7 linked regions of the Kluyveromyces lactis genome follow. The main gene of each other region encodes a partner of the protein of the gene in region 3 in a complex. Links are inferred from orthologs where the notes say so. Each region holds a gene or a part of one and is shown on either strand. Other genes may lie near its edges. The genes, in order: MRP13, RSM19, RSM26, MRP10, RSM25, RSM28 and VAR1.

Evidence for each region.
Region 1: RSM26 (region 3) and MRP13 share a complex: the UniProt entries of both Saccharomyces cerevisiae proteins name them as parts of the mitochondrial small ribosomal subunit. The link is inferred for Kluyveromyces lactis from reciprocal best matches to the Saccharomyces cerevisiae genes RSM26 and MRP13.
Region 2: RSM26 (region 3) and RSM19 share a complex: the UniProt entries of both Saccharomyces cerevisiae proteins name them as parts of the mitochondrial small ribosomal subunit. The link is inferred for Kluyveromyces lactis from reciprocal best matches to the Saccharomyces cerevisiae genes RSM26 and RSM19.
Region 4: RSM26 (region 3) and MRP10 share a complex: the UniProt entries of both Saccharomyces cerevisiae proteins name them as parts of the mitochondrial small ribosomal subunit. The link is inferred for Kluyveromyces lactis from reciprocal best matches to the Saccharomyces cerevisiae genes RSM26 and MRP10.
Region 5: RSM26 (region 3) and RSM25 share a complex: the UniProt entries of both Saccharomyces cerevisiae proteins name them as parts of the mitochondrial small ribosomal subunit. The link is inferred for Kluyveromyces lactis from reciprocal best matches to the Saccharomyces cerevisiae genes RSM26 and RSM25.
Region 6: RSM26 (region 3) and RSM28 share a complex: the UniProt entries of both Saccharomyces cerevisiae proteins name them as parts of the mitochondrial small ribosomal subunit. The link is inferred for Kluyveromyces lactis from reciprocal best matches to the Saccharomyces cerevisiae genes RSM26 and RSM28.
Region 7: RSM26 (region 3) and VAR1 share a complex: the UniProt entries of both Saccharomyces cerevisiae proteins name them as parts of the mitochondrial small ribosomal subunit. The link is inferred for Kluyveromyces lactis from reciprocal best matches to the Saccharomyces cerevisiae genes RSM26 and VAR1.

What each region holds. Positions count from the first base shown.
Region 1 is NC_006042.1:771,877-776,345, reverse strand, and holds MRP13 (mitochondrial 37S ribosomal protein mS44 MRP13), read right to left. Parts: upstream 2,627-4,469; coding exon 1,661-2,626; downstream 1-1,660. Other genes in the region: GCD2 (translation initiation factor eIF2B subunit delta), read right to left, coding at 1-1,221; KLLA0_F08283g (uncharacterized protein), read left to right, coding at 3,015-3,530; RPL11A (60S ribosomal protein uL5), read right to left, coding at 3,643-4,167. UniProt on the Saccharomyces cerevisiae protein: Component of the mitochondrial ribosome (mitoribosome), a dedicated translation machinery responsible for the synthesis of mitochondrial genome-encoded proteins, including at least some of the essential transmembrane subunits of the mitochondrial respiratory chain.
Region 2 is NC_006042.1:666,082-669,925, forward strand, and holds RSM19 (mitochondrial 37S ribosomal protein uS19m), read left to right. Parts: upstream 1-2,048; coding exon 2,049-2,324; downstream 2,325-3,844. Other genes in the region: putative ATP-dependent RNA helicase DBP6, read right to left, coding at 1-1,781; type 2C protein phosphatase PTC6, read right to left, coding at 2,620-3,844. UniProt on the Saccharomyces cerevisiae protein: Component of the mitochondrial ribosome (mitoribosome), a dedicated translation machinery responsible for the synthesis of mitochondrial genome-encoded proteins, including at least some of the essential transmembrane subunits of the mitochondrial respiratory chain.
Region 3 is NC_006041.1:116,755-121,073, reverse strand, and holds RSM26 (mitochondrial 37S ribosomal protein mS42), read right to left. Parts: upstream 1,263-4,319; coding exon 501-1,262; downstream 1-500. Other genes in the region: putative DNA-dependent ATPase RAD55, read left to right, coding at 1,870-3,111; SPI1 (Spi1p), read left to right, coding at 4,274-4,319. UniProt on the Saccharomyces cerevisiae protein: Component of the mitochondrial ribosome (mitoribosome), a dedicated translation machinery responsible for the synthesis of mitochondrial genome-encoded proteins, including at least some of the essential transmembrane subunits of the mitochondrial respiratory chain.
Region 4 is NC_006041.1:1,177,150-1,181,033, reverse strand, and holds MRP10 (mitochondrial 37S ribosomal protein mS37), read right to left. Parts: upstream 1,585-3,884; coding exon 1,297-1,584; downstream 1-1,296. Other genes in the region: FAD1 (FMN adenylyltransferase), read left to right, coding at 206-1,150; succinate dehydrogenase assembly factor SDH5, read right to left, coding at 1,904-2,395; NPC2 (sterol transporter), read right to left, coding at 2,712-3,233; SEC21 (coatomer subunit gamma), read right to left, coding at 3,693-3,884. UniProt on the Saccharomyces cerevisiae protein: Component of the mitochondrial ribosome (mitoribosome), a dedicated translation machinery responsible for the synthesis of mitochondrial genome-encoded proteins, including at least some of the essential transmembrane subunits of the mitochondrial respiratory chain.
Region 5 is NC_006041.1:743,169-747,681, reverse strand, and holds RSM25 (mitochondrial 37S ribosomal protein mS23), read right to left. Parts: upstream 2,538-4,513; coding exon 1,752-2,537; downstream 1-1,751. Other genes in the region: FAP1 (Fap1p), read left to right, coding at 1-410; EFM6 (putative protein-lysine N-methyltransferase), read left to right, coding at 716-1,516; KSH1 (Ksh1p), read left to right, coding at 2,941-3,159; rRNA-binding ribosome biosynthesis protein UTP25, read right to left, coding at 3,502-4,513. UniProt on the Saccharomyces cerevisiae protein: Component of the mitochondrial ribosome (mitoribosome), a dedicated translation machinery responsible for the synthesis of mitochondrial genome-encoded proteins, including at least some of the essential transmembrane subunits of the mitochondrial respiratory chain.
Region 6 is NC_006039.1:1,052,282-1,056,684, forward strand, and holds RSM28 (mitochondrial 37S ribosomal protein mS46 RSM28), read right to left. Parts: upstream 2,752-4,403; coding exon 1,738-2,751; downstream 1-1,737. Other genes in the region: CORVET complex subunit VPS3, read left to right, coding at 1-1,649; TPT1 (tRNA 2'-phosphotransferase), read right to left, coding at 3,162-3,872. UniProt on the Saccharomyces cerevisiae protein: Component of the mitochondrial ribosome (mitoribosome), a dedicated translation machinery responsible for the synthesis of mitochondrial genome-encoded proteins, including at least some of the essential transmembrane subunits of the mitochondrial respiratory chain.
Region 7 is NC_006077.1:35,274-40,038, forward strand, and holds VAR1 (ribosomal small subunit protein), read right to left. Parts: upstream 2,533-4,765; coding exon 1,366-2,532; downstream 1-1,365. Other genes in the region: COX2 (cytochrome c oxidase subunit 2), read right to left, coding at 1-433; COX3 (cytochrome c oxidase subunit 3), read left to right, coding at 3,266-4,075. UniProt on the Saccharomyces cerevisiae protein: Component of the mitochondrial ribosome (mitoribosome), a dedicated translation machinery responsible for the synthesis of mitochondrial genome-encoded proteins, including at least some of the essential transmembrane subunits of the mitochondrial respiratory chain.

The sequences.
Region 1 (4,469 bases), on a different chromosome or scaffold from region 3:
CAAAACATTAAGACCTTGATTTCTCAAAGATTCTGCCATTTTACGACCCTCAAACAAAGGTCTACTGTCCACTATAACAATTTGGAAGTTCTTACCGAAATTTATGGCGTTGTGTAGGAATAAATCAGTTAAAACCTTGGAACAGCCATAGGTCAATATAGTGCTGCCTTCTTCAATATGTTGTGAAGCTGTTTCAATGATAAGTTGATCAGCCAACTGCACTCTTTCTCTAGCGAACTGTGCAATCTTATCACAAAGTTCTTTTTTGGCCTTTGAATCCGGTGTTGAAGGATCGATTAGAGAGATTTCTTGCTTCAACCATCTAATGGCATTACCCATGGTTACACTCAATGGTCTTGACTTCTTCAAGAAATCAATTTGATGGGACAGGTAACTTGTCAAATTACGTGAAAGAGTAGTACCTTCTGGAGTCTTGTAGTCTCTGACAACCAGTTGGAATGCCTCTAACATGGCAATACAACGAGGAATGGAACCTATAATTTTATAGAATGCATAATCCAAAGTCAGAGAGGTGATAGCGGGATGTAACATTTCGCGATTGGCAATCAATTCTTTTACAGAGGCAATCGATTGTTGATTTGTAAATTGTGAAGTCATGGTATTTGGAATGACGGATGATATTCCTGGGACAAATGAAGACGATTCATCAAGGGACAAGGAATTTAGCATTTGATGGGCTTCAAAATCTTCTGAATGAGCCAAACCTGCCAAATTAGTATTGCTTCCAGAAAGGTTTGAACTCAAAGGAGATGCAGACATTGGTTGGGAAACCGCAACCGCGGGTGTAGTAGCAAGTAAAGGCAATACTAACCCATTAGCAGTAATCCTTGAGGTACCTGTAGAAGTGATAGCACTCGAAACTGCAAGTAAAGAAGCTCTTCTTTCTTCAGCAGTCTCTAGATGACCAAATAGAGTCGACTTCTTGGTATCATGTTTGACCGGGTCGGCTGCTTTATTCTTTTTTGCAGCTAAGAGATCTCTTTGTTGCTGCTTCTTTTCACGCTTAGCAGCAGCTTGCTGCTGCTGTTTTTCAATAGAGATACCACTAGCTTGCTTACTGGCTGCTCTCTTTGCAGCCTTCTCCTTCTTTTTCAGTTCCTTCAACTCTTTATTAGATAAAGGTTTTTCTCCTTCTTGTGCATTTGCCGTCTTTTCAGTATTAGTTTCTTTCCCTGAAGCCTCCTTAGCTCCTCCTGTCATTATTGGTGATTTGATACCTCAAAGTATACCGTTATTTGCCAATAGATTTCCGTTGGATCACAGGAACTGCGAGATCATCGATTGGTATTTATGTCAGCTTTTGAATAATTTCACCAAAATTGAAATTCTTAAAAAGAATGATGGAAAACTCGTTGACGGTGATTTCCTTGCAGATCGAACAAACTCAGTGCCCGAGTTGGCTAGCGGGAGTGACATGGTACCAGGCGCTAATTGACGAACATTTACTCAATTTGCGATGAATCCGTGACGGCACATCAATAATTATATAATAGAAGTATATTGTGTGAGTTTCTTTATGAATTATGGTCATTTTGTTAATGTTTTTTGAATTTCTAGTAATATTCTTAACTGACGTTGATTCTTATATATATATACATGAACGGTTCTGGGAAATATTGGTTACGGATAAGTCTATCCTTTATTTCGTTTCTTCTGCTTGTGCATCTGCATGAGCTTCTTCTGTCGTTTCAGATTCAGTAGCCTTTTGAGTTAACAGCTGTTTGTATTGGGATACGTATTTGTCGTAAATGTCAGCAACCGAGTTTTGCGCTAAAACGGCTTGATAGTTTTCAACAAACTGTTGCAGCTTAGCTTCAGTTGAGCCGAAGTCTAATGCTGTTCTGCTCAACAAATACTGGGTGGTGTTCTTTGTCAAGAAAGTCCTTAATTGATTTTGGCTTGCAGTGCTAACATCGATCGATGGCAAGTTAATTTCAATATTTCTAGCGAAATTAGGTAATTTCACCTCAACGTTCTGTTGTCTACCCAAAGCTTGAACAATTTCCTTTGTTAAACCAGTTGTATCTTCTCTTTTGGTAACAGTCGATGATAACTTCCTTAGGCCTCTCTCTACCATGCCGGAATCTTGAACGTTTTGGAACGCATTTCTATGCAATTGACACATCAATACAGTATTATACCATACATCTACGTTATAGGCTTCTAATTGCTTTGCTTTCACCAATAATGGCTGTATTTGGTACAGAACATTCAAAACTGCTCCTAAAGCACCAAACTTGAAAGTGGAAGTTAACAACATGTTTTGTAGATGCTGGGGAATCAAATAACTCCAGAACTCTTTCCTTCTAGGTGTGATATTCTTCCAATCTCTAACCATGTTTTCCAACTCTTCAGCTGACGATGCGTTCAATATGACGCTATTGAGAACTGATGCACTTGGTCTTAACACTGATGGTCTAGGTTGAATAGGAAGTTTAGTTTCTGGATCTTTCAAATCCATGGCCAACAAACGGTTAGCATTCTTTTTGCGGTAGATGTATGGTCTTAGAGTCTGTGGTGTCTTGACAAATTGTAAGAAGTTGTCAAAGACCGCACGAGACTCTACACCAGTTGAAACCGATCTTGTGAAAAACCGAGAGAACATTCGCTGCTTTGACTGTTATATGAGGATTAAAATCAGACCTTTGTTCCTACCGCTGGCTTTTTCAACCAAATCAGAGTATTAATTGTGTTACCTCTGCCAATAACCGATGAGTTATCCCAATGATTGCAGCTGATGAAGCGTGTTTTTCTACTGTGATGTGGTGATTCAATCTTCAAGCTTTCCTCTGGCTAGTTTCCGCTCTACATAGAAATGTTGAAAACATGAAATTTTTCAACACGTACAAGATGATATCAAAAACCATATTAAAAACCTGTCTATGCATAAAGACATTGGGGCACTTATGCTTAATTGCAATCATCGATAAGCTGTTCTAAGAAACACTCTTCGCTAATTCCAGCTCCGAAAAGACTAAATAACCAGACCAAACATGAACTCTGTACTGAAAATGAATACTGAGTTGGGATATCAAGAGTATCTCGAGAAAATTACTCTTGAAGCCAATGGTGTAACCAGCGATGAGACGACGTTACACAGCAAGGTGGCAGACATATTTCGAGAAGAAATTGAAGTAAACGGCTGTTTGAGGGAAAGTTTCAATGTTTATGAGGATGTGGATGGCAATATTGAAAAATGGAGAAGTCAAATATGGCTTGAGAGACCAGAAATGTCCGCAGAAGTCCGATACGCATATTTGAAGCACCAGGAATTGTGTCTCGAAAGACTGATATCCAAAACGCTGCCGAAACAGCTTATTGTACAAGAAGAAATGTTGAAGTCAGTTACAGAACAGATCAGAGGTGTGCTAGAAACTCAGAAACAACAGTTGGAACAATTATCTCAATACAGAACTAACATGGAAGAATCTCATAGACAGGAAATTGATTCATTGAATAACCGCTGGCGGTTGACGTTGAATGACAATTTAGAAAAGGCAACAATATAGATATTCTAATATTTGCAGTAAAAATAATAATTTATCTATATATTACGATATAATAATATTCTTGCTTTGATAAAACGATAGATAGGACACTTTTTCAGTTTAAATGGGTTGTTTATTTGTCCAAAACTTCAGCATCGTATCTTTGCTTGAACCAAGCGATGGTGTCTTCCTTGGAAGTCTTGTGAGAGTTACCGATTTTAGATTGACATCTCTTTCTTCTGGTGACTCTGGCACCTGGTCTACCCATGACAATGTAGAAATCCATACCGTAAATACCGATACCTGGGTCGTACTTGATACCCAAATCGATGTGTTCTTGGATACCGAAACCGAAGTTACCGGTAGCAGAGAAGTTTCTGTTTCTCAATTGGTATTCCTTGACCTTCAAACCTCTTTCCAAGATTTCTTCAGCCTTTGGACCACGAACAGTAACGTGGACAGCAATCTTTTCGTTTCTTCTGATACCGAAAGTTCTGACAGTGTATCTAGCCTTGGATTGAACTGGAGTTTGACCAGACAATTGTTCCAAAACCTTGGAAGCTCTGGTCAATCTGTCACCAGATTCACCAACAGAAATATTCAAGACCAATTTCTCGATCTTCAATTCACGCATAGGGTTTTGAGCTTTAGCAGACATCTTGGACTATGGGGTTGTGGGTTGACGTGTACAGCGGAATAAAACCTACAAATAATAAAAGAAATAGACCACTAATACGAGAATACTTTTAAATATGTAATAGATGTACCTAAACGTATAGTGAATCCAATGTTGAAAAACCTCAATGAAAAAAAATCCTACATCAAACCTGTAACTTAGTCCCTAGGTCAAGCTGTTCTTCCATCCATTGGGAATTATCATGAATTTTTCACTAGGCGAAAGCTCCAAACAAAAAAAAAGAGTTGCGTTGTCGCCCAAAGATCGCAGTAGCAGAACCAAAT
Region 2 (3,844 bases), on a different chromosome or scaffold from region 3:
TAAGCAGATGGTTGATAACCATCAATGTCACGACTGAGGTCAGTGTCAATATGTTGTGACCAGAATTTCTGTTCACCCTTACCAACTAGAAGGTTAATTGCTATACCCTCAGTATTAGCCCTTGCAGTTCTACCACAACGATGAACATATTGTTGAGAGGAGATCGGTAGATCATAGTTTATCACATGAGTAATTTCATTTATATCGATACCTCTAGCCATTATGTCCGTTGAAATTAAAACTGATTTCTTTTGTTCTGAGGATGCAAATTCCTGTATTAGTTTTCTGCTACTACCCTTCGAGATGTTCGAATGAATTGATGAAAGGAACATATTATACTCATCTTCAATTATTCCTGATCCTAACATGGCATGTAATAAGCTTTCTAATCTGATCGAAGCTTCGTTACTCTTCACAAACACTAATATTTTAGCGTTTCTCGAAGCACTGCTCTTGATGTCGTGTATTATTCTTAGTAAGAGTAGTGGCTTGAACAGACTCTTAGCAGTAGGAATATTGACATTGAGTTCTTGCAATTTCTTAGGTATTGAATATAATTTAACAGAATCTGTGAGGAAGATCTTGGGGTTGTGGAGATACAAATTGTACAACTTTTCTGCATTCGTAGTCAAAGTAGCAGAAAAGACCATTTTGATTACGTTTCCTGGACGTTTATCCTGCTTATCGTTTGTCAAATGGTGGAAAAGCACTTGGTTCCAATTTTGGAATGACTGATTTAATAGTCGGTCTGCTTCATCAAGGACTAAGAACTTCAAAGTTTTTAGGTCAAATGATTCCATCTGCAAGTGATCGACCAGTCTGCCCGGAGTGATGATTAGAATGTCTGGAGAGTTATACAAAAATTTGTTGTGTTCTTCTTTCAAGGAGTTCTCGAGTTTCGACATTGATACATTGAGACTGGTCCCTTGACTTAGTTTAGAGAGACAATCGTAGACTTGATGAATTAAAATTTTAGTAGGAACCAAAATTATTGCCCTAACTTTATTCACTGTTCTAGATCTCAAAATTTGAACCAAAGGGACAGAATATGCTAAGGTCTTACCGGAACCAGTTGATGCGTTTACTAATATATCACCAACTCGTCTTGTGAAAAGTTTTCTGTTTGCTTTAAAAGATGAGTTTAGAAGCGGGAGCACTTTATCGAATAGAATGGTCTGAATAGGGAACGTTTCAGATGAGAAATTGGAGGTAATATTTTTAAGCAGACGTGCATCTAATTCACCTTCGTAGCTATCGAATTGTTTAACCATTTTACTATCGTAATGAATTTTGGTTGCTGCATCCCACGCAGTGGATTTATATGTAGACGGATCTAGAAGCTTCAAGGCTTCATTGGTCACTTTGGCCGGTTGAGGAATTGGGGTAAGACTGTGAACATCTTTCATGGATACGTCCTCATCGTGTACATCGTTGTCACTACTGACCTTGTCTGAAGCGCTCAACGCACCTTGCAGGGAAAGAGTCTGTTGAAATCTATTTAATACGGAACTGTGCTTTGCATCAACTGATTGCTGAGAAGTTTCTGTAGGCGCAACAGATGCAACCTTGTTTTCATCTTGCTCACTAATTGTATCGGAATCATCCTCACTGCTGGAAGCATCATCCTCACTGCTGGAAGCATCGTCCTCACCAGAGCCTTCATCATCAGTTTCCGCATCTCTTTTCCTCTTTTGGGGCACAGTGGGTTCTTTTATTTGTGTGACTTCAGCTGTTAGTACATTTTCAGTCACCTTAGTAGGATCAAACCTTGCAGCAAACATGTTATTGACTGGATGCTATCGTTATGCTGTCGCTATGCTGTTACTGACCTTCTAAATTCCTGAAGCTCATCGCATCATATTACATCTCATCGCCATTCGTCTATTATTTTATTTCAGAACGGAATTCATAAAAAATTTCAATCTGTAAAACTTGAAATAACGACAAGATATAATAGAGTTAAGTCACTACCATGATATCAGTCAGCCAAAGGTTCCAGCAGTTAGACAAATATCTCGCGTCTACGATAACACTCATAACGTCATAAAATGTTCCCGTCATTGAGATTACTATCACGTTCTGTATGGAAAGGTCCAAATATAGTCCCATTACCAATAAAAGAAGCATTGGCCAAAGGTACGCCCATTAGAACAAATGCCAGATCTGCCACCATATTACCTCAATTTGTCGGACTGAAATTCCAAGTGCATAATGGTAAGGAGTATGTCGCGTTTGAAGTGACAGAAGATATGGTAGGAAGTAAGCTAGGAGAATTCGTACCAACAAGAAAGAGATTCAGTTATACTCAAACTAAGAACAAATGATTTGACATTTATGAAAAGCACAAAGTTAGTCAGACAGCAGCATGTATATAAAATCACACCTGGAAGTTCATGTACCACCGTGTACTCCATACGTAACTGTATCTATTACTAAGAAATGATTTATTGAACAAGTGCTCTCGATTAATTGGGAGTTAATGGTGTTTCTCATTGTTAAATAGATGCAAATGTTAATCATAACGAGTACTATATATAATAATTGAAGTAAAATAGAATATACACTCTTTACTTGAGGTTTCTTTTGAATTTAATTTATGATTAAGTTTGTGGACTTTTTTCAACCACTAGATCTTTCTCCACCGGATACACCACTTAGTAGCTTTTCCTCTCTAATCGCACCAGTGCGATCAATGACAGGCCAATTTCCCCAGTTCGGTAACCGCAGAATTACGCAAGTAGCATTATCAGAATGTTTAGAGCTAATAGCCATAACATATTGTAAAACTTCCTGAGCACAGAAGTGTGGAGAAGCAGTTTTCAAACCTCTATTGTTCACTGTGGAGGTGATGAGATCACAGAGTTCTTGATCGCTCATCAATTCAGTTACTCCGTCTGTCACTAAACATAAGAAACATTCATCACCACCGAACTGCAATTTTGATCTTTCAGCATGTGGTAACATTTTGGTTGGTCCAATGAGGTACGAATAAATGTCCGGCTCGCACGTTAGACCATCACGTTTTCCGATCCGATCGCCAAAGGATCGTGTATTTGCAAAATTGTTCAAAAATCTAGTATCACCGAAGGAGTCAGTTTGGAATTGACCTCCAAGTCTTCTGGACTCTCTACTTGATGAAGGATGATGAACTTTAGCCAAAGAATGAGCAATACCATTCTTGTCACAAAGTATAATTTTAGTGTCACCGATTTGAGTTACAGCCAGTTTTAGTAAGCCCTGTGGTGCAATGAAAAATGATTCATCGTAACATTCTTCTTCATTATAAGAGGTTAAAAAAAGGCTTGAAGCAGTCGAGCCACCAGTGAATATTTTCATTGCTTCTTCTGGTTCTAAATCCGAAGAAAATCCACATATTTCATTTAAGTCATAATTGAGGTAGGATATGTACAAACGTAAACGTTCGTATTCACTCAACAAGCTTGTCTTGTCAATAATGTTTCCCCATTTGTCAAAGATCATTCTTGCCCCATTTTTTGGCGCTACACCGTCCGTGAGTAGGACTTGCTCCACTTTAGTGTTACATTTTTTGATATACCTCTCATAGTACTCCTTTCTACCTTTGTATATCCTCGACCAGTACTTCCCCCCCACTAAGTCCTGATATTTTTTTAATACAGCGTCAAACTCTTGTCTGATGGGGACCATAGCTGTTATATGATCGTGCAAACCTGAAGCCAGCATCTTAGAGACACGATCTCCTCCATGACCGTCAAATATAGAAATATTCAAAACGTTTCTCTGGGGAGGTAATTCTTTCCAAAGTTTCATCTTAGTAGCGATCGATTTTTTTGAGTTTAACAACGAGCTTTCGGCTATAGTTGTT
Region 3 (4,319 bases):
AAAACAAAAGATTAGCGATAAGCGGCTTTTAGCAGTCACAGAGTTGATTATCCATCGCCAGGTGCCTATTTCCTACTAGGAATTTTATTTAACAGAATGTACTAAACCTAACATTCCCGGCCAGTGAATATTATGATGGTTATTGCAAATACGAAAAAATAAGAACTCCTCATAGGGGGCTCGAACCCCTGACATTTCGGTTCCTTGCGAGCAATGCTTAAAAGCCGAACGCTCTACCAACTGAGCTAACAAGGACGAGTTCTCAAGTTCCTCAGAGTTTTGGAAGTATTTTATACTTGATGTTGAAGTTTTAGTTGAATACCGTTTTCCGTACCTTATCCGCTCTTGCCTATATCAACCAGAGATACGCTAATAATGAGAGAGGATTGTGAGCTATTCGCAAACGGTTATATTGCATTTGTGACTATGTACATGTAATTAAGACCCATATTTTAAAGAGAGCCAACAGTCTATTTATGATTGGAAGTACTGGTATACTCCTATTGTGTGGAGAACAATCTGTTGTTAACCGCAGACCAGTTCAAGTTATCTAAACACTTCCTTACGTAAGTGGATCTGCCCTTAATACCGTAATCATTCAAGTATGAATGGTCCCACAAACTGATCGCAATCAAAGGCATTGTCCAATCTTTAACGTCTGCATTTGCGGCAAGTAGATCTCTCATCGTTACAAACTGTTCCATTTCTTCTAAGGATAGAGCACTGTTCAAATCGAAAGATTGGTTTCTAGCAAAGTAGTATGGAGTACCATTATTTTGAACTGTTAGGATGTGAAGTTCCTTGGCATCATTTTCCACAAGGAATAGCCATCCTTGACCTAACACATCTTCTTCTGCATGTCTAACCATTTCATCCTTAAAAGCATCCCAAGTCATTGAATATTGTGATTCTAGCTTCTGTAGAAACTCACGAGATGGATGTGTAACTTGTTCCATAGGCAATATGTTTTCTATGAACAAATGGTTATTGTGCAAAGCACTAGCCAAATTGAAAATGTTTGTTTGGTATGATTTCTTCGCAGTGTGCAGTACTAAATGGAATGGCAAGTAGGATTCTGCGGCAGTTCCTGCAGATGCCAGTGTTAGCTTATCGCACAAAAGCTGCTGCTGGTCAACCCAGCAAGTTTTGAATGTGTTAGCGCTCATAACATGAGGGATGCCTGAATCCAAAAGTTGTGAAATACCAGGTATCTTTGGAACTGTGTGTATTCCTCTGAACAGTTGACGCCCAAACATTGACATTAAATATTTTTAGTTAGTTGCCTCAATTATATCAATCGTTCCGAAACTCTAGGAAGAATGTAAATAGGATGCATTGAGCAAGAAATAGTAGACTTTCTAGTTATGCATTTTAGATTCATGAATTGATACAAGTCGAAATGATTTCAATTTTTCCTGTTCGGCAATGTTGAATGCTAAGAAAAATTTTAAGATTTGAAATGTTACCCGGAACTCATTATCTTCTCTAGCTTAATGAACTAGACTAATAATCAATAAAGTCCAAATAAGATACACCCGTAGGATATAATCCGACAAGAGGTAGACAAGGAGATTCGTGGGAAGAACCTTCGAGTTTTTAATTTCAATTCTTTCAATGATTAAATTCAAGTATTATTACTCCCTCTTATCTTTTCTTATTTTATATTTTTGAATAACATAATCACAGCAAAAACCTGGTAAATAAAACAAACATTATTGAGCTGAGTTGTCTACGGACTTGATGACATTTTTTAGTTACACCTAAAGGTGAATTATGCGGATTTAAAAGGCTAGTTATACATAGTCTTGAAAGGCTTGAAGAACCAGGAGAAACTGTGGACGCGTTTGGTGATTAGTTGATAGCATTCTAATGTCATTTGGTGTACCTTTGTCTCAACTGATACAAGCGCGTGCAGATCATGTACGAAGTGGCATTGAGAGTTTAGACGATTCATTGAATGACGGATTCCAACCACAGAGTATCTACGAGGTTTACGGACCTCCAGGAATTGGCAAGACAAAGTTCGCGGTACAATTAGTGAACAATAATCAGAATAGGATGAAATGTCTGTGGATTGACACGTTCCAGCAAGTACCACTGAAGCTTATAGAGCAAGGAGATGAGGACGAAGTCCATTTCAAAGGGTGCCAATTCGCAAGAGTGAAGAAATTTGCTCAACTGTGGTACATGTTTCAGAATTTAAAAGAGACGTACGGGCTCATAATAATCGATGGTTTATCTCAGCTTTTGGTAGAGTATCTCCATATGTACGAGAAGAACAGTGGATATTCTAACCATCGACAGACCTTGCACGATTTCAAGGTGAAAAGTTTGATACAATTGCTTGTCACCATAACTAAATACGCCACTTCAAACAATACGGTGGTGGTATTACTTAATGACGCTATGAACACAGGTTACCAGGACTATTCAGACGATGCAGTTGTCTCATACAACGATCCCAGCAACGGAACCCACTCAGATGGTTCCTTTAGCAATTTCCTCGTGAAATCTCAACGGAAACGTCACGTGCAAGTGTTGAAGAGTGGATTAGTAGCAAATGCAGCCGTTGGAAGTAAAGATGCCCGTTGGGAGGTGTTTCTTCGATGCAGGATCGGTGTGTTCTGGAATTGGGATGCAGAACAAAAGCAGAATCCTAACTCCCAGAAAAGAATCATCCCCGAGGTATCACGGCAGTTTGTTGTACAACATCAACAGCCAGTGGGCTCGAAGAATAAACTGGTTTGGGTTAAGACTAATGAATCTGGGAACTTTTATAGCTGTCACACAACTATAGTCGCAGAAAACCCAACAACTGCTGTCACTGACAATCTTCTTCCTACGAACACTTCCTCAAGTGCGACAGCTGCTGCTGCTGCAGTAGCCGCAGCACCGGTGCTTCCCCCAAACAAGAGAAGACGGGTTTTATACACGGAGCCAAGTCCGAGCCGTATGCTATTAGATGTTCAAAGTCACAGTCAGCCCGTAACACCAAACTCTTCGCAATCAATCCAGTTTACACCACGAATCGTTCATTCAGACAACATTGTGGCAACTCATGGAACTGAAGGCACTGACAACGACGCTATCATATATGATAGTGAAGGATAGAACGGAACACATTACAAACAGGAAGCCGACCTAATTTTGTCACTTTTAAGTGAATAAAATATGCAACTAAGAATTGCGCCCTTCCTCCTTAGATACGGTCACGAGTGGTGCCCAATATATCTCACATTCGTCATCGGACGCTTTTCCAGGAATCTCCACGGAAACCAAAAGAGAGATCATGGAAATTACTAATGATGTGGTGTATGGGTGCATGTGTCTTTTTTTTCCATTTTCTCCTTCGAGAGATCCCCAAAGGGCATCAAAATAGATCTGACGTGATCTATGCCAACTTTAGTAATCGACATGGGACGGTTTTCATTGGCCGGTTTTAAGAGCTCTTGAACCTTGAATCCACTAACTTTTCTATTATTGGAATTCAAATAGGAAAAATTTGTTTGTTTTGCTTTTATTGTTACTGCTAGGTTTACAGATATGAATTTAACAAGCTAATCTTGTTTTTTACATGTTTCAGCCGTTCCAACCTGTCATAAAGTGTCAATGAAGGTTCTGAGGTGGAGCAATCTGTGATCGGCCCACTTAGCTCCATTGTATAAGCAACATATGTCCTTGTAGGTGTTGTTTGTAAAATAGCCGGCTTCCATTTTAATATGGCCAAACCGAATGCGGGTATGGAATTACGCAGAAACAGGAAGAAATGACTGGATAATTAGATTTTGCTTATTGTTTGGGAAGAGCCATTTGAGGGATGACGGCTTCTATTTTGAGGGTTTCTGCTGTATCTGCGTACAACTCCATTTTTTGTTTACTATTCTCGATTTTACTTAATTGGACTAAAGTGGATATTTGTTGTGACAAAGATTGTTTCTATTATTGTCATGTTCATCTTTTTTTTTTGGTATGACAGTGCTGCAATGGAGAGGGAAAAAATTGCGTAGATCTTGTGACTAAAATAAATTGCCAGGTGAAGAAAGCAAGGGGATAAGAATAGCGATATGAGTGGGCCGACTGAAAAGTATATAAGGCATTGGTTTGTTTCAAGAGTTTTAGAATAATATATCCCTTCTTCCACTTTTTTTTCCTGTTGAATAATCTGTATTGTTATAGCTGTAACATCAGGATTCACTATTGTATCTTCTAGATAAGCAAGAAAACTTACTATCGCTAACACATCGCGTTCATCAATAAAGAAATACTGCAAAAAATGAGATTTTTGACCGCTTTGACTCTATTCTCCGCTACTGCTTTGG
Region 4 (3,884 bases), about 1.1 Mb from region 3:
TGGTAAACGGAATGGTTTTGTTTTGTACCTCTTTTCAATCTTCTTGGCTTATGTGATGAAAATCGTTCAAAGGCAATTCGAGGTTTTATAAACCTTCTTGACACAACTACAATATACTTTGATTCAATTTACCGTAAATGCAGAAGTCTAGGACTTCGCTAAAGATCAGATAGTGTGAACCGATAATACAGATACGTTTTCTGCAATGTTGCAAGACGTTGCCCTGAACTGTTACAACATCGTTCAGTCGTATTTATCGATCGATGCCGAATCTGCCGTAGCCACAACCGGAGATGTAATAAAACAGACTCAAGAATCGATACAGCTGAGTAGACGGTACCTTCTGCAGGATATATTCACTAGATGGGATCCGTTCAATGGCGAGATATCATTTTCATACAACGGTGGCAAGGATTGTCAAGTGTTGCTAATCATATATCTGGGATGTCTATGGGAATTTTTCCTCATGTCAATACAGGGATCACAGTACGATCTCCAGTTCCACATGTTCCCGTTGCAGCAACTACCCACTGTATACATTGATCAAGAGGATACCTTTCTTACGGCACAAGATTTCTTACAACGGAGCGTGGAGCGATATCACTTATCGTTATACGAATCAGCGAAGGATAAACAGGTCGATATGCCAAGTGCCTTCAAGTCGTTCTTATCGGTACATCCAGAGACTCAGGCAATAGTAATCGGCATTAGACACACAGATCCATTTGGGGAGACGTTGCAACCAATTCAAAAGACGGACCCCAGTTGGCCCCAGTTCTACAGGTTGCAACCGTTGCTACATTGGAATCTCTCACAGATATGGAGTTTCCTATTGTATTCGGGAGAAGAAGTATGCGGATTATATGAGATGGGATTCACTTCATTGGGCAGTGTAAACAACACATTGAGAAATCCATACCTACGGATACCAGAACCTATAGGCTCCATGACAAAGGCCGAGACTGAACATAGCGATTTCCAATGGGAAATTGAAAACAATTACAGAGGAGATTCTAACATGCATTGTAACGAAATTAACGAGAATGACCTTAATACCATCAAACAGCATGATTCATCTGAGTTCCATCCGGGATGGTATCTAACGAAAGACGAGTGGGAAAGAGCTGGCAGACTCGCCAGAAAAGTTTGAGATGAATCCACTCACAAATAGCTACAAAAATCTCTATCATATTTAATAAATCGTGAATTCCTTGATTTTAGATGATATATGTAATATTAGAAAATGGTATTATGTACAAGTGATAACGAAGGGGGAGAAAGTCTGTCTGCTTCTTTCTAATCATGAGATTTTCCACCAACTCTATCGTACAATCTAGCAGCATGATAGTTGATATTACTCTTCTGGACTTTTTGGTTCTTACCTAAGGCATTTTCCGCGGTACATGCCTTCAAATCTTGGGCCAATGTCTCACATGCACCGTACATGTGTCCGTTAGAAGACCAGCATTGTAATAGATTGGACATCAATACCAAGCATCTGTTAGCCTCTTGTTGAATAATTGGCTTTTTCACCTTAAGTCTGGGAAGAGGTGGTAATTTATAAAGAGGAGTCTTACTGGACATGCTTTAATATATGAACACTTGATATCTTGGACGTACCCTTCGCAACACGACCTTACAAGACCTCTAGAACGGACTACGCGACTACATTTATGATATTTTCCATCATATAAACGATATCATTCTTTATGATCTTAACAAAATTTTTGAGACTTTCGCCAATGTTGGATCTAAGTATGCGGTGTACGGGTTAAATTTTTCACTTGGGCCTGCCCTGGAAATGATGAGCTGCCGCGACAGAGGGAGAGAGAGCATATGGGTATAAAATAAGAGCTATAGACTATACTGTTGCTTAATTGGCAAGTACGTATACCGCTGATGTTCAGTATTTGGAAAGATCAGGCATGCTTAGGATTTCACGATCCTTGTTCTTACTGAACTCTTGCAATTGTTTTAGAATATTGGAGTTCTTCCATCTGTCAGGAAGAGGTGTAATGGAATAGTTTTCTGTGGCCCAGTAGTAGATATCCCAATCTAGTTCGTTCAACAACTGGTCGTACTCTTCTAGTTGTTCTGGGGTCATTTCCTTTAAATACTTAGCAGCAAAACGTGACAAAAGTAAGTCTGTTTCCAGAATACCTCTCTTTCTGGACTGATAAATTAATCTAGCACGCTTCTTGTCTAGAGACTCGCCGGTTCTCTTGATAGGTGGGATTCTGATTCTCACCGTGACATCGTCATCTTGGCCCTCAGCACCGTTGCTGTTGCCCTTGTTCAACAAGTAAGCATTTGCGTGAAGAGAACGGCATTGCTTTGTAATCGAGTTAACTCCAGATTTCAACACTGATGGTTTGTTGAAGACAGTTCTTAGCATTATTAGATGACAGTGGTCGTTTGTTGACTGGACAGGTAGGGATAGTATAGAGGAGGGTATACTAGATATATGTAATACAAATTAGGACCTCTTCCTAACCTGGGGTAACGGAGGAGAGAGATCAACCAATTCAAATTGTGATTCAATTAATATTATATATAGCAAGACGGGTAAAAAGGTGCCGTAATCGGTTCGGTCACGTGTACATGGACCTAGAACTCCACAGCTTTGCAACGTCGCTATAGGAGGAGACCTTATACTTGGCTCACACTGGGTAAGGTCAGTGAGAGACAGGTAGCCTTTGTGACAGGTGTGTCTAGTACGCTGGGAAGATTACTTCACCAGTTAGGCACGTGATCTGTTCATCGTCGACGTTGTAAGCTCTAGCAATGACAGAGTATTTGCCAGGTGGCACCTCGCTAGGGATCTCCACGATCTTGTTCAACTCGTAGACACCTTCCTCGATTGGACATTTCAATCCGTCGATGTCGTTCTCCTCCAATTGTTCACACAAATCGTAGGTTTGTGAGATTAACTTGATGTAACCTAATCTAACTTCGATGTCGATGTATGCACCTTCTTCGATAGTGGTTTGTAGGACACCTGCAGCAGCTATAGTCAAATTCTCACCTCTTTGTGGTGGGTTGGGGACCAAGTTTACTTGAGTAACATCAAGCGATTGAGATTGGTCAACATCACATTGCAATAAAGGAGAGTCACCAGGGATCGGTTTGTTCGCTGATGGTGGTTCTGGGAAACTTAATCCGAATAAAGAAGCTGCATTAGCGTACGATGCAGCAGCGCATAATAAGTAACTGGTTACAACAGAAAAACGCATCTTGGTGGTTCAATCAGGGTGTTTTAGAGATAAGGGGAGTTTGCTTTAGCTTTTCTTTTTTTTGTTTATGAAGGTTTCAGGACTTGATATAATAACGAGAGGCCTTAGTGAGTCCTTGTAGATATCTTAAAGATCTTGAATTGGTCTATGAGCAGGTATATAACTTGTAAAGGCTGAACTGTTGCTCTTGCTTTATCTTTCTTTCCCTTTCCTTTTTGTTGTTTCCCATGCGTGATGTAAACAAAATGTTTCGAATTCCAACAAACCTTTAAAATTGTGACTTTCTCATCTCGAAGTCTCAGATAAGGTCTAAAGGATAAGGGGTGAACAACGAGCGGCTGAAATACGATTATCAGACTGAGAACTTCGTTATATTTACGGCTGAGAAATACTTATGTTGCTATCTTAGATAGATATATATATATATAGGTTTTTTTTTTGTTTTCAAATGTACATATATTATATCAAGTTGTTTGATAAGTCTTCTGCCAACGATTCCTTGTCGGATTTCACTAGAGCCTTAATTGCAATACCCTTACTTGTCTTGATCATCTTGATGGAAAGCAGGGCTTTAGTGTTGTCTAAGATACATTTTCCTGAAAGTTTTAGAGTATGTTGGGTGGCATCGTGGGATACTATTTGTGAGTTTTC
Region 5 (4,513 bases), about 630 kb from region 3:
TATTTAAAACATTAGAAAAGGAAAGAATGCAAGAACATTACTCAACAAAAGTCACGAAAACCTTAATTAATATCCCCGCATCCGAGACACCTTTACCGGCCCCATACGAGGGCCCTAATGCAATAGTCATTTCCGGAGTGTTCGATTCAAGCCAAATAGATAATATCGAACCTCTGGTGCATGATTTCTTGAAGTATACTTTAGTGAAAACACCTCAATATCGCTTCTTGAAAGACTTAAACTCAGTTTTGATTTTCCCAGAGAATTATTCGGGTATAACAAAAAACACTGCAAGTGATATGGAAAAAGTCATTCCGTTTATAAAGACAGCACTACAAGATCAAATGTTGGCTACAGGTGTGGAAATGTGTCAAGTTGATGAGAATTTGTCCCTAGTGTCTCAAGCATAAGAGAAAAAGCCGGCCAAAAAAGTACATATATAAAAAAACTGACGCACCTATAGTCTACAGACTTTTCATGCATAACACCTCAGCAGAAGTTTCATAGCCTTCATTTATTTATACACTATAGAGAGAACATATTCAATTGCAGATTCAGTACAATGTACATCGTATTGTAAATGGAATATATTGTCGTTGGATGTCCTTTTTTTTCACATCATGAAGAAGTTTAGTCTGTAAACTCTAAAAAAAGAGTGAAAAATACGACTATTCCGAGAAAACCTGTAGACAAATTCCATATTATGTAACAGTCGATGTCACTTTTAGAAGTGCTGACGAGAGATCGAAAAGAGCGAACAGTGTTGGAGACCTGTAAGGCATTCATTATGGGGGATGTGCCGTTTTCAAGTTGTTTTGAGGAACTAGTGCCAGCTAGGCCAATTGAGCATCTGGGCAAAATTGATATGTCTTTCAATGGAAAACTGCCGAGTCCTCTTATAATCAATGAAGATGGTGGTGAATCCGGATGCGGAGGTAAAGTGTGGATAGCAGGTGAACTGCTATGCGAATATATCCTTGAAAAATCCGACAAGGAACATTTGCTAAGTCATTTGTTTCCAGATGGGAATTGCAATAGCGTTTTGGAACTGGGTAGTGGTACAGGTCTAGTTGGGCTTTGTGTTGGTCTAATGGATCAAGCGAATGAATATTCAGATCGTGAAGTTTATATTTCTGACATTGATCAGCTGCTTGGTCTCATGGAATCTAATATTCAAGTCAACGGATTGGATGATAAGGTTCACGCCGAGGTGTTATGGTGGGGGAATCCCTTGCCGGATGTATTTGTCAAGAAACCGGTTGATTTAGTGCTAGCTGCGGACTGTGTGTACTTAGAAGCTGCTTTCCCATTATTGGAAAAAACACTGTTAGAATTAACTGATGGGGAGAATGTGCCAATTATTCTAATGGCATACAAGAAAAGGCGTAAAGCGGACAAACATTTCTTCCAAAAGATCAAGAAGAACTTTAAAATTGTAGAGATACGAGATTTTATTAACTTCGATAAATATTTGAAACAGAGAACTCATTTGTTTCAGCTTATGAGGGAGAAATAAAAAAATAGTAGTAGGGTGACAACTGACGTTTGTCAAATGCAAAGACACCCCATTTAGTTTGATCTTTTATGCTTTTTGTGATGCTCATGAAAGTACTTTCAATTCGTGAATTAACTATGAGTAACTTTATAGTTATAGTGACTTATATATACATGAAATTTTTATACAATAATGACAGTAAAACTCAGAGTTCTGACGGGAATAGTGTTCATTGGTTGTGTTTAATTGTGGAAGATCATAGTTGAATTTCCTCAACATCTTGATCAATAGGTTTTTGTTCTTCTTCGGTCTCGTTTGTCCAGGAAGCAGAAGGACTACTTGCTCTGGCAGCCATCAACTCAGCTTGCTGTAAGGCCTTTCTCTTCCATGTGTCAATGACCTTTTGTTCCTTAGCAATTCCGTATTCTATTGAAGTGGTATGGAAGACTGAACCGAACATTTCGGCTTCTTCTTGAGCAACTTGATCTTGAATTTCTTGTTGTATTCTTAGACGGTAGAACTCGAATCTAGCTTGATCATATGCATCAATGAGTTCTTTTTTCTCTCCTGATTTTAATAGGAAAAGCGTCCTTTGTACAACTGATTCGCCATCCAATGGCTTGCCTAGTTGTTGGATATGAGACCAGTCATATTCTTGAGTCTCTAGGGTATTCTCAACAAGAATCTTAGGTCTTGAAAGTTCCCATGGATGTTGCTGGAAGAACAATTTTCTCAATTTATCCTCGATATATACTAATTTTGGGGACTGATATAGCTTCGATGCACCATCTTTCTTTTCCAAAGAATTTGGTCTAGTTTTGTATAATCCTGAAGAATTGGCCTTCCAATTGCTGTAATCAGGTAGTGCAGTTCTAGATTTACCGTTCATAGGATGTGTCAGTTGTGGGGTTCTAGCAAACTTCTTTGTTGGTGGTACCTTCGCTATAACATTGTACCAAGCTGGAGTCTTCTTCAAAATACCAGACTTCAAATAGGCGGATGTACGTTCTAGTACATTAACGGCTTCTTGCTGAACCTTCATTTTATATCTGACGTTTATATGGCCCGTTTACTCTATACTATCTCAGTAAACTCGCAGGTTCAAGCAATCGATCCAATACTTGTTGTCCTGGAGCTGTTCATACAGCATATTTGTGAACTTTTCAACTTTTCACTATAATTTCATTTTGGATCGTCGATCAGATTTTTCAAATTTTTCTAAGTAGAAGCATTCAATTTTTAGATCACGTGAAGAGTAAACATTTTTCACCAAAATTAAAGATCGAAGAGCTAAGTGTATGGGGAGCGTAAGTTCCTTTATTCTTTTCAATACAGTGGAATGATAACTGATGAACCTTAGGTTTCATCTCGTTCCTGTTTTGAAAGGTTCAGAGTAGATATTTTCTTCGGCAGAATATTCACGGTCACTAGCTTTTCTGAAAAACATGTCTGCCCTATTCAATTTTAAATCATTGTTACAAGTTATACTATTGTTCATATGTTCGTGCACATATATTCATGCACAAAGACCATCGCTCCTTGATCGTTATAAGGACAGCGGTATACTAGGAGTATTTTGGAAGTTTGCGAGAATTGGGGAAAGAGCTAGTCCTTATGTGTCTTTAGCTTGCATTGCCATGGCAGTTTCGCAATTCAACAGTTGATAAACCCAAGGGAAAAGATAAAGATAAGTCACAATTGCTATAGGTGAAAGCTCTCATTAGCAAGTTTGACCGGCTCTGAGGTCTATAGAATTATATTTTAAGTATAAAATTAGTTTAATCTATTATCGGGCGGCTATTGGATTCGTTTGCGGGCTTGTCTCTTTGCATCAAATAATTAAGAATTAATATGTACTCTTTGAATCTGACTTTGAGTTTCAAAATTCTACAACAAACAAAGAAGTTGAAAAGTGCAACATATTTTAATACTCTAAGCTATTAGTAAAGGAGAACGATTGCGTAAGTTTTCGGTTTACTAATTATTTATGGCATATTTGATCCACTCTATTTAAACTCGTACACTTCGTTTTGGCCATGAGCCAATACTGCCGCGCGTTTAGATCCTACGACTCTCTCTAGAGAAAGACCGTCCATCTTACTATATATGCATCTGACAGTTGAAATGTTGATATCACAGTTGCCTAAAAATACGTTCTTACCAATATTGCGAACAACTTCAGAATAGAATTCAGGATTTCCCGGAGGCTTGTAGAAAATTACACTCTTGACGTTTTTTATTTCGTACCTTCTAAAGTGGTGCAATCTTTCTGTGTATAACAAGACCTTCACCTTTCCGTGTTGGAATCTTGCTCTATTGGATGTCAATTGTTTCTGGTTAGAGTACTCGTTGATTTCTCCGAATATGATTGTAGTTTTTTCTTTCAAATAGTTTCTAACACGGATGAAATCGGTATAATCAGGAATGTATAATAATATACCATCCTCGTACCCAGTAGATTTCACAATAGACGGAACGATGACACTCGTAAAAAATTTAAACCTGTAATCAGGTTCATCTAGAGCTGTCCCTCCTGCTAAATCAAATCTTTGGAATATTTGTCTAACCTTTAGTCCTAATTGACCAATGCTTGATTGTTCAGGTTTTATCTTCCTATGATTTTTCCATCTTCCAGCAAGATTACGACACTTCCCATTCAAGATTGAGTTGGCAAACGGTGATATGTATTTAGTGAAGACTATTGTTTGGCGGAAGAATTTTGCCTGTTCGTTAATATACCACATTCTGATTCGACTGAAATCTGCTTCCCGTTGCTGTTCCGGAATTTTATTGATATGCTGAAAAATTGTTGTCACATGCATGGCGTTTTGATATTCAATGGAATGCAATTGATCTATGATCATGACTTCAATGCTCGACAAGAAATCATCCTGTCTTTTCTTCTTATCAGTGTTTTCAAGAATTAATTGAATCCCTAACGGAGAGCATATAATGATATCGGACTGATAAAAGTTTGAGTATATCTTTAGGGATTTTCTAGTGAACTTGAGACCCAAT
Region 6 (4,403 bases), on a different chromosome or scaffold from region 3:
GATATGTCCCTTTAATTGCAGAAGAACTCCAATTTCGAGAAGAACAAGAAAAAGCATATGTGGCCAGACAAATTGCGGTTGAATGCCACATGATTATCTACGGAAAATGTGGTATATATTCTTTATGCCGAAAGCCATTTCTACTCACCATTTCGAGCTATGGCGAAGATACTCTTCCAATTTTGAAGTCTTTCATCACTGAAGAGTCACAAAGCAATTACCAGCTTCTTCAAAAAAGCTACTTGCAGTTCCTTTATGTCTTGCTGTTAACATTACATATGGAACACATTGATAAAGATTTAATCGATGCCTGGCTCAAATATATTGATGTTGCAGATATCAGAGTATTAATTTACCTACTTGGTTTCGACATTTACGGAGATTTGTGGATTCCTAATGGGTTATTAGCATTTTCAAAAAAATTGCATTCATTGAAGCTAGTTCACAAGTGTAATGACGTTCTGAACATCATACAATACTTGAAATTTCAACTAAAAGAAACGTGTTCCGATAGCTTAAAAGATAGTGCGAACGTTTATTTATCGCTCGATTTAATTCTATTACGTGATAACATCGCTAAAGGCAGTTCAAATGTTGATGAATACGAGGCGACTAGTTACCAAGAAATTGCTAAAGAGCTTTCTAAGCATAAAAAAGAACATTCAGAAACTTTAATAGCCATATATGAAAAGACAAAAGAAGTGACCCCATTGCTCGAAATACTAAGACAAACAGATCAAAAAAGGCTCATAAATTACCTGAATACTCATTTCCAAGAGCTACCCGATACTTACTCTAAAGAAATGCTGACTGATGATATTTCATCAGCTTTGAAAGATTATAACGATGACACTGTAAGCGACGTTTTACAATTAATAAACAATTTAAACTTAGATGTGAAAAGACTCATCTCATCCATCGAAGACCCTGATACAAAGGTTCTCTTGCTTGAAAAACTGGGTGCGAGTTCCACCCAAGATTTGACATTTCTTTACGAGTACTATAAAGCTAAACTTACTGTTTTGAACAGCAAGCTAATAGAAAGTTCCAATTTACCAATTACGGAGTACATTACCAACATGACATATAACAAGTCTCCTTTCAAAGAGTATTTGAAAAATAAGCTGGGTGAGAAAAAGGAATATGAGGGTTGCTTCGATGTAGGGACCAAGCTTCTGAAAATAGAAAAGGCTTTAAATATAAAAGAAGGTTCTATTATTGATGATATCGATGCTTCTTTCGTTCTACGAATCATGATCACAGATATCAGTGTATTAAAGGAAAAGATCGGGTTCGAAAAACTACTTGATATATATTTATCACGGAATGATTTTGCTACGGTGGAGTCCTTGTTACAAGCCAACGATAAGGTAGTGCTGAAAGTTATCGATCACTATCTAAGTCTCAACAATACTAGGGTCATTAGTCAATTCCTTAACAAGAATACGTGTTGTATAAACGACTCTGGGCTACTTATAGAAATTTTGGAAAAAATACCCCCAACCATTCAAATATCAGTGTTATCGGGTTTCCTATTTCCGTTACTCAGACGAAAAGACGAATCAACATATAATCTACAGATTAAGAAAGGAATTTTAAGGCATCGTACTCAGAATATAAACAATATCGAACGTTGTTTAGAACTGTGAAATAGTGTGATATATCATTAAGTGCATTGTGAAAATATATACATGAAAAATAGAGGTTAATCTTGTCTATAGGCGATCTGGCTTGTAATCAAGCTGTCAATTCAGAGACTGGTGCCAAACCGGAACAGACTTTTTGCAAAAGTTCTTTTTCAGTTGAAGCCAAGTTGCTTTGTTCTAAACTCTTTCTCACAATTTCGCTATTTTGCAGAAGTTGCTCTCTTTTGTCTTCTGCTTTTGTTAGTTTGGCAAAGTCCTTCTTTGTGTATGGCTTGAGAATGTGGAAACTACCCTTGACGGATTGCTCAAGTTTTTCTAGATCCGGAGAAATTTGGATGTTTTTTGTCAACGGTTCCACCTGCAATTTCAAAATGGAAGCTGGCACGTATTCACCAAAGTTGTCTTTGTTCGCTGTCATACGCTTACTGACGTTCTTTCCATTAATTGTGACACCATCATTCAATGAACGATGCACAGGGAAGTCGGCGTCTTTTAGTGTTGAAACTGCATATCTGAATGTCCTTGCACTGAAAGTTGGAGCCAGAGCAGGTCTGTATCTTAGCAACGATAACGGTGTTGGATCTTGTGGAACATATACAGCCGAGTTGTGAATATTTTGCACAACGTTTTCCGATCCCAAATTACTGGAAATTTTCAACCCTGGAACGGTTTTACGAGTTTTCCTTTCATCGCTTCTACGATTCTGTCTGGTACCCAAATTTTGAACTTTGCCTGAAATCTCACTATACTCATTAGTACCGGTAATCTTTGGTGTCTGTCTTTTAGCCGTACCTGTTTGTACTACCGGGCCATTGGTTCCTCTAGTATCCGTTCTTTGTGTTCTTTCTCTAAAATTTTTACCACCACGGTCTTGACCATTACGGACTTGTCTATTATCCCTGGGTTTATTTCCTCCGGATCTGTCATCAAATCTTGCTGTTTGTCTCTTATCTTCCCTCCCAGCTGACCTCACCTTTCTGTCAGATCTTGGTTTACGTGGTTCTCTTGCCTTGATAGGAACTTCCTTCACTCTTTGCAAAACTGATGCTAAAAAGTCCGGAGAGACAGAGCTATAAGCCCTTTTAGAGAATGTAGAAGCTAGCATTATTAAGTAAATATATTAATGCTAGTCACACACTTAAACAGATCACAACTTGATATAGCGTTACCTGGTTTATTACAACCCTATACCTAAATATCTCCGTGATACCATAAGAACTAATCAAGTTCATCATACTGAAACGAGTTTCGCACTCTCATAGGTTTTATGAAAGATCAAAAATTTTCAAGGCGTTCAAAATGATAAAAACACACGTGATCTAAATTTCTTATGATGACAGAAGGAATACAACATTCGGTGGGTTCTGACGTTTTGATATGAACTTAATACAACGGCGAGTACATACAGCGATATGCCTCGTCTAAAAATTGATGTTGTCAGTGGAAAGTCTAAAACAAGTCAATTAATTATTAAGAGGTGATATATATATGTATAGATAAAGCGATCAAGTCGTTTCAGATAATCTCGATTGGAACTTTCATCTCTGTAGCCAACTTTTTTAGCTGTTGAAGTTGTTCACTAGATGCTGCAGATCTGCCTTTCCGTACTTGGATGAAATCAATAAATTTCAACGGTATGTCCTGAGAAGTTAGGTAAACATTATTTAATGATTTCACAAGGTTGAGGCTGTCTAGCATTTCCTGGATCCTTTTGATATGGATGTAAACGTTACTAGAACTTCTCATTCCACTGATGACATCCGTATCTTTTCCAGTAATGCCGGGAGACAAATGAACATGGTTCCGTGACATTTTTTTGATGAAACCTGAGTGAAGAATTGAAATGCAGTTTGATACGTTGGTGCCATGAACCAATTTACTTGATAGTTGTTCTATGTTGGTAATTGGTTTTAAAACGTGTTGCGATGGAGCAATTTGCTTCAATGTATGTCCTTGTGTTGCACAGACGTACATTATCCCTGTATTCGGATCAGTTTTGATATGAAATCGTTGCTTGTCATTACTAGCAACAATATGCTGTATTTCTGTTGACGTTGCTTTCAAGCTTTTGAGTCTGTTATGCTGCAGTATTCTATCCAATGCAATGTAACCATCAGAATCTATAGGCAAGTTTTCCTTCACAGCACCATGTCTCAGCAAATAAGCCAATGCTTTCGAAATTTTCACACTTCTGTCCTTAGGTTCCTGCGAATGCGAGGTGTTCATAATGGTTCAGTTAAATCGAGCTTAGCACTTTCTGTTTTCCCCAATAGCTTTGACCATGTCGTTCTCTATCGGTCATACATAACTAATGGAATGAAATATATATGACAACGAAAAAATAATTGGATGGAACCTAATATGAGTCAGATGACACACACGAACGTATATATAGATGTAAACTTAGGAATTACAATGTGCACTGTAGGCACCGTACGTAAACGCCTTGAAGTTGCATAGTAAAAATGATAAAATAGAGTTTGATTAAATAATAGAGACCGTTGACCAACATAATTCGTTATGTACATGATAAAGTTCCCATATTTGGTTCACGAAACCTGACGGGGAAGGAAAAGAAAAAGAAGATGTAAATTAATGATTGTGTATAAGCAAAATACTGTAACAGAATGCGCCATATCAGGGACTGCAAAACGCATCTGGGGTCAAAGACACCAGAGTTAGTAGTCGAGTAATAGAGTCCCTTCAGAAAGGACGAAATCAGGGGAAAGACAGGTCATCAATCTGCCTCATAATTTG
Region 7 (4,765 bases), on a different chromosome or scaffold from region 3:
TTTCACCATTATCATTAATGAAATCTGAGTATTCATATTTTCAATATCATTGTAAACCAATAGCTTTAATAGTCATTGCTGGAGAAATAACTTCATCACATAAATATAATAAAATGAATGAAGGGAAAGCAATAATTAATAAAATTACAGCAGGGAAAATTGTTCAAATAATTTCAATAGTTTGACCATGTTTAATATATTTATAAGCAATAGGATTTTTACTATAAGTTCTTACAATTGTAAATAATAATCATGATACTAATCCTAAAATAATAAATAAATAGAACATAATATTATCATGTAATTCTAAAATACCTTCTTGATTAGGTGTAGCTGAATCTTGGAAATACATACCATAAGGTGTAGGTACATCATTCATAATAATTGAATTTAATAAATAAAACATATTTATAATTTTTTTTAATCTATATATATTCTATATATTAGATATTACATTGATTAATATATTATTCTCCCGCGAACTCATCCAACTAATGTTTTGATGAGTTCGCAATTAGGAAAAAAACTTATTAATAATAAATTATTATAAATAATTATAATAATATTAAATAAGTATATTGATATATTATTATTAAATTTTTATATTTTAATTGATATATTTAATATATATTAGAGATACGAGATTTGAACTCATGTCCTTCGCGTGTAAAACGAATGCTCTGCCAATTAAGCTAATCTCTATTATTATTATTATAATAATATTATACTTACTTATATCTATATAATAATATTATATAATAATTATTATAAATTCCCCCAATTGCGTATTCCTCCCCACCCCCCTTAAAGGGGGTGGGGTTTATTAATTATATTAACTCCGGGGACTCTTCCCAGGTATACACCTTATGGGAAGGAGTCCCCGGGAGAAGAGTATATAAAATTATTTATACACCCCGCGGCTTATTCCCTGGAATTCCAGGGAATAAGTCCGCGGGAAAAGTATTATAAATAAATTAATAAATAAATAAATAAATAAATAAATAAATTATTAATACTAATAATAAGTATTATACCCCGCGGGAAAATGTATATTATATATTTATTTATATATAAAATTAATAATATAAAATTAATTTTTATTAGTATTTAGAGGTCCTTAAGGAAATAGTAAGGAGAACGCGGGAAAGATATATATTAATTTATTATATATTATAAAATATTTATATTTTTACCCCCCCCTTCATATAATATGAAGGGGGGATTATATGTATATATTAATTTATTATATATTATATAATTATATAATTATAATATAAAGAAAGAAGCCCCACGCGGCATTACCCTAGGGTAATGCCGCGTGGGGGAAGAATATTGATTATTTATTTATTATTATTAATTAATAAATTAAATAGTATTTAATTTAACTTTAATATTATATTTACCATTTTTATTAACATCAGAAATATTAGTAATATTATGGTTAACAGGGATATAATTTAATTTATAATTATTAACCATTTGATTACCTCAAATATATTTATAGTTTTGGAATGTACCATTTAAAATATTCATTGTATTAGATCTAGAAATAGATTTATTATTAGATAATCTACCTTTTAATTGAATTGATCATCCTACTAAATATTTAAACATTAAAATATTATTAGGGATAGTATTAATATTATTATTTTCATAAATAATATTATATAATTTCCCCGCGGCTCCTCCCCTGGGATTACCAGGAGAGGAGTCCGCGGGGTTATTATTATTATTATTATTAATTGATTTAATAATATTATTATATTTATTAAACATAATATTATTAATATTATTAATATATGTTTGACTAATTAATTTATCATTTAATTTAGGCATATTATTCATTAAATTTTTAATTCTATTCATTGATAAACTTCTTTTAGAAGATGAATTCATAATTTTTAATGATTTAGCTAAAATATCACTATTCATATAATTATATTTTAATTGAATAGGTTCAAATGATACATCTTTATTATAATATAATGATAAAATATTACTAATACTATTAATGTTATTATTTAATAAATTAATTAATTTACTATTAATATTAAATTTATAATTACTATAAATATTATTAATTAAATTATTGTTATTATTAATATTTTTATTAATATTTTTATATGATAAATAATAGAAAAATTTAATATTAACTTTATTAATACTATGTTCAAAGATAGGTTTAGAAATAATTAATTTATAAATTTTATTATTAATATTTAATACTAATAATTTTGTTAATAATTTAGTTACTAATCTATCATAAATAGTATTATTAATTTCTTCAGTTTTATTAAATTTATAAATTTGAGATGATCAAGAATTAATATTATTTAAATGTTGTAATTTTACACCTTTATTACTTAATTCATTTAAATAATCTCAAATATAAGTTTTATTTAAAGATCTATTTAATCTTTTATTATTTAATAATAATAATAATTCTTTTATAGAATTTAAATTGTTTATATTATTAATATTTTTAATAATATTTAAATTTGTTGTATGTTTATTCATTGTATTTATATTTATTTATATATATTGATCGTATAATATATATATATAAAACTATATATATATTATTATTAAATTATTAAAAAATTTAACATGTTTATTATATTTACTACTTATAAATATAAAATAAAATATTTATTATATATTTTATAAATTATGTATATTCCGCGATATCATCATATGATGATATCGCGGGAAAGAGATAAATTCCCGCGGATCCTCTACTGGTAATACCAGTAGAGGATCCGCGGGGTAAGATAATATATTCTATTTATAATTATTATTAAAGAGATAATCTATTTTATTTCCCCCCCCCCCAATCTCATATTATGAGATTGGGGGGAATCGATATATAAACCCCGGACGCCATCGTCCGACCGTAGGGTCGGACGAGGCGTCCGGGGAATTGTATTTATTTATATAGATCTATTATATATAATAATATAATTATTAATCGCCAAATACCCCTATTATAGGGGTATTTGGCGATACTAGATATATATTTAATATTACTAATAATATACTATATATAAATAGTTTTCATAATTAACTTTTCCCCATTGCGGACTCCTCCCTTCGGGGGGGGGGGAGTCCGCAATGGGGTTTATAAGTAAGTATAATATAATAATAATTATATTAAAATATAAATATTATCATATATATATATATTATATATATATATTAAGTAATATTATTTCTATAAATTAAATTAACATTTAAATTTATAAATGTATAGATTATAAAAATATTTATGACACATTTAGAAAGAAGTAGACATCAACAATTTCCCTTTCATTTAGTAGCTCCATCACCATGACCAATTGTAGTATCATTTGCATTAATGTCATTAGCATTATCATTAGCTTTAACTATGCATGGATATATTGGACATATGTATTTAATTTATTTATCAATTTTAACAGTAACATTAAGTGCTACATTATGATTTAGAGATATTATTGCTGAAGCAACATATTTAGGAGATCATACAATTGCTGTTAGAAAAGGTATTAATTTAGGTTTCTTATTATTCGTAGTATCAGAAATTTTAATTTTCGCTGCATTATTCTGAGCTTATTTCCATTCAGCTATGAGCCCTAATATTGAATTAGGTGGTGTATGACCTCCAGTTGGTATTCAAGCTGTACAACCTACAGAATTACCTTTATTAAATACTATTATCTTATTATCTTCAGGTGCTACTATTACATATAGTCATCATGGATTAGTAGGTGGTAATAGAAAAAATGCATTATCAGGATTATTAATTACATTCTGATTAATTGTTATTTTTGTTACTTGTCAATATATCGAATATACTAATGCTACTTTCACAATTACTGATGGTGTATATGGATCAGTATTCTATGCTGGTACAGGATTACATTTCTTACATATGGTTATGTTAGCAGCAATGTTAGGTATTAATTATTGAAGATTAAGAAACTATCATTTAACAGCTACTCATCATGTAGGTTATGAAACAACAGTGTTGTACTGCCATATTTTAGATATCATTTGATTATTCTTATATATTGTATTCTACTGATGAGGTGTATAACTCATCAGTACAATATATAAGAATATCTTTAAACAATAATATTCTTACCTTTTTTATATTAAATATATAAATAAATATATAATATAATATTAATATAATACTATTATAAGTATTGCCCGCGGCAATCCTAAATAGGATTGCCGGGGAATTAGAACTACCCGTGGCACCCCCCCAAGTATATCCTAAAAAGCCCCCCGTCAAATATATTATAATGTGTCCTAGATATATTTATTTATTATGACGACTATTAATAATATGAAGTACAAGCCCAATGTCATCAGGGGGGAGGGGGGGGATTTTTTTTTTTTTTTAAAAAAATAGTTCGTAGCGTACTATCATTTTTTTTTTTTTTGGGGGGGGGGGGGAGGGTGAAAAAAAAAAAAAACCCCCCCCCTCCTCTTATTATCCCTCATATCCGAAGTGGTACTTAACTCTAAGAATAAGACACTAGTTTTTTATTTATAATCGTTATATATCTTTTTCCTCGCTCTCTTTTTGTTAATATTGATTATTCTTTTCTTTTTATTTTATTATTGTTATTAAATTTTATTTTCCTATATATATTTATTCATTAACTATTCTTTATATTTCATTATCTCCCTTTAGACTATCTTACACAGATGCTACCTAATTATTTATTCTGTAATATTTTCTCTTTATTTTTGTTTTGTTGTTTTTTTTTATGTTTTA